Linked DNA regions of Cricetulus griseus. The protein of the gene in region 2 binds, or shares a complex with, the protein of the main gene of each other region. Links are inferred from orthologs where the notes say so. Each region holds a gene or a part of one and is shown on either strand. Other genes may lie near its edges.

Region 1 (4,202 bases), on a different chromosome or scaffold from region 2:
CCTGTTCATCTCCCTACCTGGCCAGGCTGGGTAACCCATCCGCCCCCACCATACATGTCATTTAGCATACATGTTATATTAGTATTTACACATCACAGCACCTGTCATGCCCCACCCCCAAGCTTTTCTATTTCTTTCCAGCTCAGGGTTTCCTAGAATATATTAACTTCACATTGTTCACTGTAAAATGGCTATACTAATTAAATAATTAAGTTGAAGAAATGAGGTATAAAGTGCTGGATCATATTGCAGGGTACTTTGTATTTAATAAAAATTTTATTCAAATAACTTGCTGCACAATAATTTGGAGTAAATATATAATTTCTAAGGTTGACACATTTTGGTTTATAGGTACAATTTACAGGGCACCAGATCTCTAGTTTCAATATTCATAATGCTATGCAAATATTAAATGGGATCTTTGGAGGTATCTTTTAGAAAAGTTATTTTGTGTCATTATCTTGTCTTATCTCAAATAGTATTAAGTTAAATACAATTATATATCTAGCCCATGTAAGAGAGTTCATAGTAAATTGAAAAACAAAACAAAAAAAACAAAAGAAAAAAAACATTTGCCAGGCGGTGGTGGCACACACCTTTAGTCCCAGCACTCGGGAGGCAGAGGCAGGTGAATCTCTGTGAGTTCCAGACCAGCCTGGTCTACAAGAGCTAGTTCCAGGACAGCATCCAAAGCCACAGAGAAACCCTGTCTCGGAAAAAAAATTTTTTTTTTCATTAATTGCAATAAGCTCCAACAATCTCTTTCTGCTGAGCCCTGAGGATTGCACTGTAGGAAAAAGTCAGAATTTAACAACAATCATCTTCTAGAAAGAAGACACTAAGGAGAACTGGATGGCTGATGTAAAGAACACTTGTCAAACTTGTTGATTCAAACCCCTTCCAGAAAGATCTTACTGTTCAGCCCTGGCCTGCAACTCACTATATAGACCAGGTTGGCCTTGAACATGCATTCATATAGGGGCACACCACACCCAGACTCACTCTTCCTTTGTAGGTGCAGACCGCCTAAAAACCTTAAAATGTTGCAGTTCATGTGATCATAAAGCTGGGACAGGTCTTACAAGTGGAGAGATGAAACCTGGGGTTTGTCTAGGAAGACTGGTCACTGCCAACTATCCAGAACACTGTGAGGGACAAGGCTGCAGAGGTCTGCGCATCCTGCCTCCACTCCCTAAGCAGTGCCTCTGCTGACAAGATATTTTGAGGAAAATGGCAAAGAGAACAACCCTTTAATCCTGATAGAAAAGCCTATCTTACCTTAGAGACCCATCCTGCCTGCCACTGCTCTTCAACCAGCTGCATGGAATTTTTGGAAAGCGATGGTAAAGGCTGCTCCAAAATTCCACAAAAGAGCTTCAGGGTGCCAGGGCCATCTTCTGTGCTATAATCTTTACATTAAGCAGCACGACCACTACAGACCCCATCAGATGACTTTCAACCACAAGACAATCAACACCGACCAAGATGGAAACGCAACTACAAATTGTTTTCGGTCACATCTCCCTTCTGTCAAGGTTCTCAGTAATGGGTTCTTCTCTCTCACTCTTTTCAACATATATGTGAGTGACAGGGAGAGCCACTGGGCACCTGCTAATGTGAACAAGGCATCCTGAGGCTTTCTCCCCACTATCCTACTCCTCAAAGGGTTCATTCTTATCTGACAACAAACCCACAGCTGCATGACAACCAACCTTAATTTAGAAATAAAAAGGATAATTGCATAAAAAGTGATTTCTAGGGCTGAAGAGATGGCTCAGCAGTTAAGAGGGAGAACTACTCTTCCAGAGGACTGAAGTTTGATTCCATGACTCACATCAGGTGGCTCACAACTGCCTTTAACTCCAGCTGTAGGGGATCAAGTCCCCTGACCTCCCTAGGGCACCTATATTTATGTGCACAAGCGCCCTGCCCCCCAACTCCCCGTTTAAAAAAGTAATTCTTTCAAACAGAGTTCTAGAGAGGCAGGTGTGGTGGCTTTGAGCCTACAATCTCAGCATGCAGGAGCTGAAGCAGGAAGATTCCGGCAAAATTAATGTTAGGCAGAGCTACATATTGAAAACCTAGTTTAAAAAGAAAAGTCAGGCCAGGCACTTGGGCATGGTGGCACACGCCTTTAATTCCAGCACTCAGGATCTCCGTGAGTTCGAGGCCAGCTGGCCTATAAAGCGAGTTTCCCCACCACCACTATATCACACAAAAAAGCTATTCCTAAACAACAATTTGGGTCTAACTGGAAAACACAGGAGGAGGTGGGGTCAGGGGTAGGAACAGGGACTCGTCCGTCATAAGCATACACAGCCCGGTTTGGGGTGAGGAGCAGGCAGGCGTCAGAGCTAACCGAACGCCGTCCCAACATACACAGATTTCAATCCTCTACTCCTGGTATAGTCCACGGAGCCCCGGCCGGTGGCGGTGTGGACACCCACCTGTGGCCAGGCCGCCGCTCGGCAACGAATGGGGCTGCGTGTCGCACACCGTCTTAGCACTGGCCATCGTAGCCGGGCGGCTTGACTGGGCCCTGGAAGGTGCAAGGTGGATTATTAGCAGCGCCGGGGTAACGCCACGCCAGCCGGCCCGACCGCCCACACGCAGCCCAGCCCCGGGCCCGCAGAGCCGAACCCAAGCTCCAGCTGCTCCCGCCCGCAGTCCTCTTCTTCCCCTTTCAAAAGATGCTCGGCAGCAACCGCCCGGCTCTGGGCAGAGCTTGCCGCCACGCTTTCAAAAGGAAACTTCCGGGAGCTGGGCGGGAGGGGGCGTGGCTCCGAGTCAGTAGGCGGCCCTGTTGTACGGAAGACTTTCTCCTGCTCCACGGCCTCGGAAGCCGCCATGCTGTACGGAAGTTTAGAGCCGCCTGCCCGAACCTGCGGGTCACGGCAGGCCAGGGATGCACTTGGCAGGCTTGAATGGGGCTAGTGAGCCACTGTGTCACATTTCTGGGTGGAGGCAGAAACGTGATCTTTCTTAGCGTCCAAGTCACAATCCTCTTTATTTGTCTTTGATTGTTAAAAAGATCCTACTAGGAGTACATATGACCTGAATAAAAACTACCAGATACCTGGTGTAGTATGGCAGAACCTTCTTGAAGGACACCAGTGGGCTGAAATACCTAACAAACCCGCATCCGGATTTAATTAGAAGTTAAAGTTATTCATACAAAACAAAGCAGAGTTTTCAGTCTTTCGTTAAAAAACACACATTGGAGCAGCAGGTATGCTGGACACTAAGAGGGTGGATGGGTTAGGGGAAGTAAATACCAAAACTGACTTTAGCTCTACCATCTTGGAGTTCACACTCTAGGAAAGACACTAAACACAAAAATTCCAAATACATACTTACCATCCTTGGAAAGCCACAAAATGCTATAAGAGAGAAAAGCCAGGAAGAGTTTTAAATTGAGGAAAACAGTTTAAATTGGGAAGATTGAGGCCCTGGTGGTTCACAACCATAATTCCATCACTCAGGAGGGCTGCCTCTCGGGAACTGCTATGTCTTCGAGGTTAGCCTGGGCTACATGGTGAACTCCAGGCCAGGCAGAGCTACAATAGTCCAGTAAAATCTTGTCTCAATAAATAAGATTTAGGATAGGTGGACTTTTCTGTCCTGCCAGCTGCTCAAGAAATAACCACACAGAGACTTAATATTAATTGTAAATGCTCAGCCATTAGTTTAGGCTTATTTTAAGCTAGCTCTTACAACAAATTAGCCCATTTCTATTAATCTATGTGCTGCCACTAGGCTCAGGTTTTTTGTTTTTGTTTTTGCTTTTTTGTTTTTTTTTGAGACAGGGTTTCTCTGTAGGTTTGGAGAGTGTCCTGGAACTCTCTTTGAAGACCAGGCTGGCCTCGAACTCACAGAGATCCACCTGCATCTGCCTCCCGAGTGCTGGGATTAAAGGTGAGCACCACCACCACTCAGCTGCCCCTAGCTCGGCTTGTTTAACTCACCTGCATATTTCCCATTTCCCATCCTGCTTGCTCTGCATCTCATGGCATCTTTCAAGACTTCACTTTCCTTCCCAGCGTCCTCCTAGTCTGACTTTCTTGCCCAACCTCTTCCTGCTATAAACCAGCCAGCTCTTTATTAGTGAATGAGTGTAATACATATTTATAGTGTGCAAAGACACAGCAATTTTGGTGTATTGATTTGGGAAAGACAAGTTAGTTAATATCATTAACACTGAG
Region 2 (3,659 bases):
AGAATAGTTATGAGTTGTAATGTGGGTGCTAGAAACCAAACTTGGGTCCTTTAGAAGAGCAGCCAGTACTTGTAACTGCTGAGCCATTTCTCTAGCCACAATTTTGTTTTATTTTGCTTTTCAAGACAGGGTTTCTCTGTGTATTTTTAGCTGTCCTGGAACTCACTCTGTACCTGCCTCTGCCTCCCTAGTGCTGGGATTAATGGTGTGCACCACCACTGCCTGGCTTTGAGCCACAACTTTTTTTTTTTTTTTTTTTTTTTTTTTTTTTTTTATGCATACACATTCTGCTTCCATGTATGTCTGCATGTCAGAAGAGGGCACCAGATCTCATTACAGATGGTTGTGGGCCACCATGTGGTTGCTGGGAATTGAACTCAGGACCTCTGGAAGAGCAGTCAGTGCTCTTAACCTGTGAGCCATCTCTCCAGCCTCCTAGCCACAATTTTTAAAGAAAAAAATCTTTATTTTGTGTGTATGTTTTGCTTGCATGTATGTATATGTACCACATGTGCATCTGGTGCCCATGGGGGCCAGAAGAGGGGGCCAGATGCCCTGGACCTGGAATCATGGATGGCTGTAATCATGGATGGTTGTAAGCCTCCAAGGGCATGTTAGAAACTGAACTCCTGCTTTCTTAGCTGCCGAACCGTCTTTCTGACTCCTGCCTTATTTTATATTTTAGCTAATATACCCTGGTTTTATTATGGCTTTTTGGGGGGCGTTTGTTTGTTTTTTGAGACAGGGTTTCTTCTCTATGTATCCCTGTCTGTCCTGGCACTCACTCTGTAGACTAGGCTGGCCTCAAATTCACATGTGTGTGTGTGTATGCATGCACTGTATGTGTGGAGGTCACAGTATTTATGGTGTCAGTCCTCAGGCATCTTTCATATTTTTCTTTAAGATATTCCAGTTTTCACATTGGTCTGGAACTTTGTCATATAGGCTAGACCCACTGCCTCTTGAGCTTTCAGAGATCTACCAGTTTCCATCACTGAGATTAAAGGCACACCATTGCATCCCTTGCCAACCAAAGAGTTTCTGTGTGTAACAGTCCTGGCTGTCCTGGAACTTGCTTTGTAGATCAGACTGGCCTCAAACCTTCAGAGATCCATCTGCCTCTGCTTCCCAAGCTCTGGGATTAAAGGTGTGTGCCACCACCACTCGGCTTGCATCCTGCTTTAAAAAGAAAGATTTATTTATCATTTATGTGTATGTGTGTGTGCTTGAGTATGTGTACAGTACACCATATGTCTACATGTGTCTGCAGAGGTCAGAATCAAGCATCTGGTCATCTGGATCTGGAGACACAGGCAGTTGTGAGCCACTTGGTTTCAGTGCTTGGTACCAAGCCAAGTCCTAGGGACTGGACCTGTGTCTTCTATAACAGCATCAAGAGCAGCTCTCAACCACTGAGCCATCTCTCTAGCCCCACTCCCAGCTTTTTACATGGACTTTTTACAAGAGTAGTCAAGCTCAGGCCCTTATGTTTGGAAAGCAAGCACAATTAACATTATCGCCAGCTCCCCCTAGGTTTTTCTTTCTCTCTTGGCTTCATCTGATTGTGAGCCTAATTTTTCCATCTCATATGAAAGTCACTGGCAGGATGGAGATTAGAGGCTGCTGGTGTATGTTATCCAGCTAAAAAGAGCAATTATTTCTTTGGCTAGGTCACTAAGACACCTAAACATCTTCAGGACAGCAAAGAGATTAGACAGGCTCTGCTGCAAGCCAGGAGTGTCATGGTAAGTGTTGGTTGAGTTTATACCACTGGGGGCCCTTGTGAAGTTAAAAGATGGAGGATCCTGGGTAGTTAGTAGATGGTGAGCCATAGCTGTGGCAGTGAAGGGAAGATCTCAAACCTCTGTCAAGAATGTCTCATTATTAAGAACTTGGAACTGGGGGATCAGTAGCTTTTTCCCTGCAATGTCTCTTCATCTTACTTAATGACTATCTTTGATCTAACCTTGCTATCTTTTCTTCTACAGCAATCATGGATGTTAGTCTCTAGAGAACTGATATCTTTGCTTCACCTGTCCCTGACACACATGAATGAAGACAGAATGACAGTGAGTCAGGAGGTAAGCATCGTGTAGGTGACCATAAGCTAAGAACAAGGCACAAAACATAGCATCTCGTTCTTCTTTTGTAGTCTCGGCGTGCAGAAACCCTGGTTTCCTCCTGTTCTCATGTACTGAAGAAACTGAGGGCAAAGCTCCAGAGCCTCAGAACAGAAAGGGAGGAGGCAAAGCACAGAGAGGAGATGGCCCTTCACGGCAAAGATGCGGTAAGGTGGCTGGCAACTTCTGGATGCGGAAGGACTCCAAGGTTCTGTAGGAATGACTTGAGACAGAAGAGACAGAATTAAGAGCTACTGGGGACTTTATAGTTATGGTCTTCTGTGCTGTTTTCTTGTTACACACCAAGTCCTTGCAACATTTTCCCTAAACAGGCAGAGGCAGTACTGGAGGCTTTCCGTGCACATGCTAGCCAGCGCATCAGCCAACTGGAACAGGATTTTACATCTATGCAAGAGTTCAGAGGCCTTCTACAGGAAGCCCAGACCCAACTGGTAATGTCATCTCCTTTTTGTCTGTTTGACTTGTCTATCCATCTATATCTATCTATCTATCTATCTATCTATCTATCTATCTATCTATCTATTTTTTTTGAGACAGGGTTTCTCTGTGTAGCCCTGGCTGTCCTGGAACTAGCTCTGTAGACCAGGCTAACCTGCTTTTGCCTCCTGGAGTGCTGGGATTAGGGGCATGAGCCACAACCACCCAGCTGTCATTTCCTTTTTTTTGAGACAGTCTCTTACTATATAGTTGAGAAATTGCTATGTAGACCAGGCTCGCATTGAACTCACAGAGGTCTGCCTATCTCTGATTCCTGAGTGCTGGGATTGATTAGAGGTGTGCAACACCACTCCCAACTCAACTGGTAATTTAAGGGCATTTTTTGTTTTGGGAGCTCATGACACTGACAAGATGCCTCCATTAATCCTTCTGTTCCAGATAGGGCTTCACACAGAGCAAGAGGAGCTGGCTCAGCAGACATTGAGTCTGACTTCTGCTTTGCAGCAGGACTGGACATCAATCCAACAGGATGTGAGTATTTGGGGCCATCACAGCCACTCCCTTAGAGGCAGTTTCCCATCCTTGAGTGTGCTCTACTGATCCAATTACTTTGGTAGTGTGGAACATGGGCAGCTTTGCTGAGTCGGTCTCGAGAACTCACAGAGAAACTCACAACCAAGAGCCGGCAGGCCCTTCAGGAACGTGATGCTGCAATCAAGGAAAAGAAGCAGGTAACTTGGAGGGGGGGGCACTACTTAGGCCTGCTTTCACTTTGCTTGGCTGTAAGATGTCAGGAGCTCAGTTGTTTCCTTTGGTCCCAGCACCTCCCCTTAGTAATTTGTCTTGTCTCTATTTGTTCCTGGGGGTCAGCTTCATTTTCTGCATACTGCTGTTCTGGAAGTTTGCACTGTTGTCCATAAAGAAAAACTGCACTGAGTCCTGGAGTTCTTGACTCAGGAGGAACTGTAGGAAGGAAACTGTCTTTTCTAGGTTTTGAAGGAACTTGAACAAGTGTCTGCCCATTTAGAGGACTGTAAAGGCCAAATAGAACAACTGAAATCGGAAAATAGTCGCCTTACC

The links. Proteins that work in one complex are often made in the same cells at the same time.
Region 1: Spag5 (region 2) and Knstrn share a complex: the UniProt entries of both Homo sapiens proteins name them as parts of the astrin (SPAG5)-kinastrin (SKAP) complex. The link is inferred for Cricetulus griseus from reciprocal best matches to the Homo sapiens genes SPAG5 and KNSTRN.

Annotation. Positions count from the first base shown.
Region 1 is NC_048599.1:59,675,698-59,679,899, forward strand, and holds the start of Knstrn (small kinetochore-associated protein), read right to left. Parts: upstream 2,850-4,202; coding exon 2,641-2,849; intron 2,540-2,640; coding exon 2,448-2,539; intron 1-2,447. UniProt on the Homo sapiens protein: Essential component of the mitotic spindle required for faithful chromosome segregation and progression into anaphase.
Region 2 is NC_048600.1:91,701,150-91,704,808, forward strand, and holds part of Spag5 (sperm-associated antigen 5), read left to right. Parts: intron 1-1,670; coding exon 1,671-1,745; intron 1,746-1,988; coding exon 1,989-2,081; intron 2,082-2,152; coding exon 2,153-2,287; intron 2,288-2,452; coding exon 2,453-2,572; intron 2,573-3,017; coding exon 3,018-3,110; intron 3,111-3,196; coding exon 3,197-3,310; intron 3,311-3,569; coding exon 3,570-3,659. UniProt on the Homo sapiens protein: Essential component of the mitotic spindle required for normal chromosome segregation and progression into anaphase. Required for chromosome alignment, normal timing of sister chromatid segregation, and maintenance of spindle pole architecture.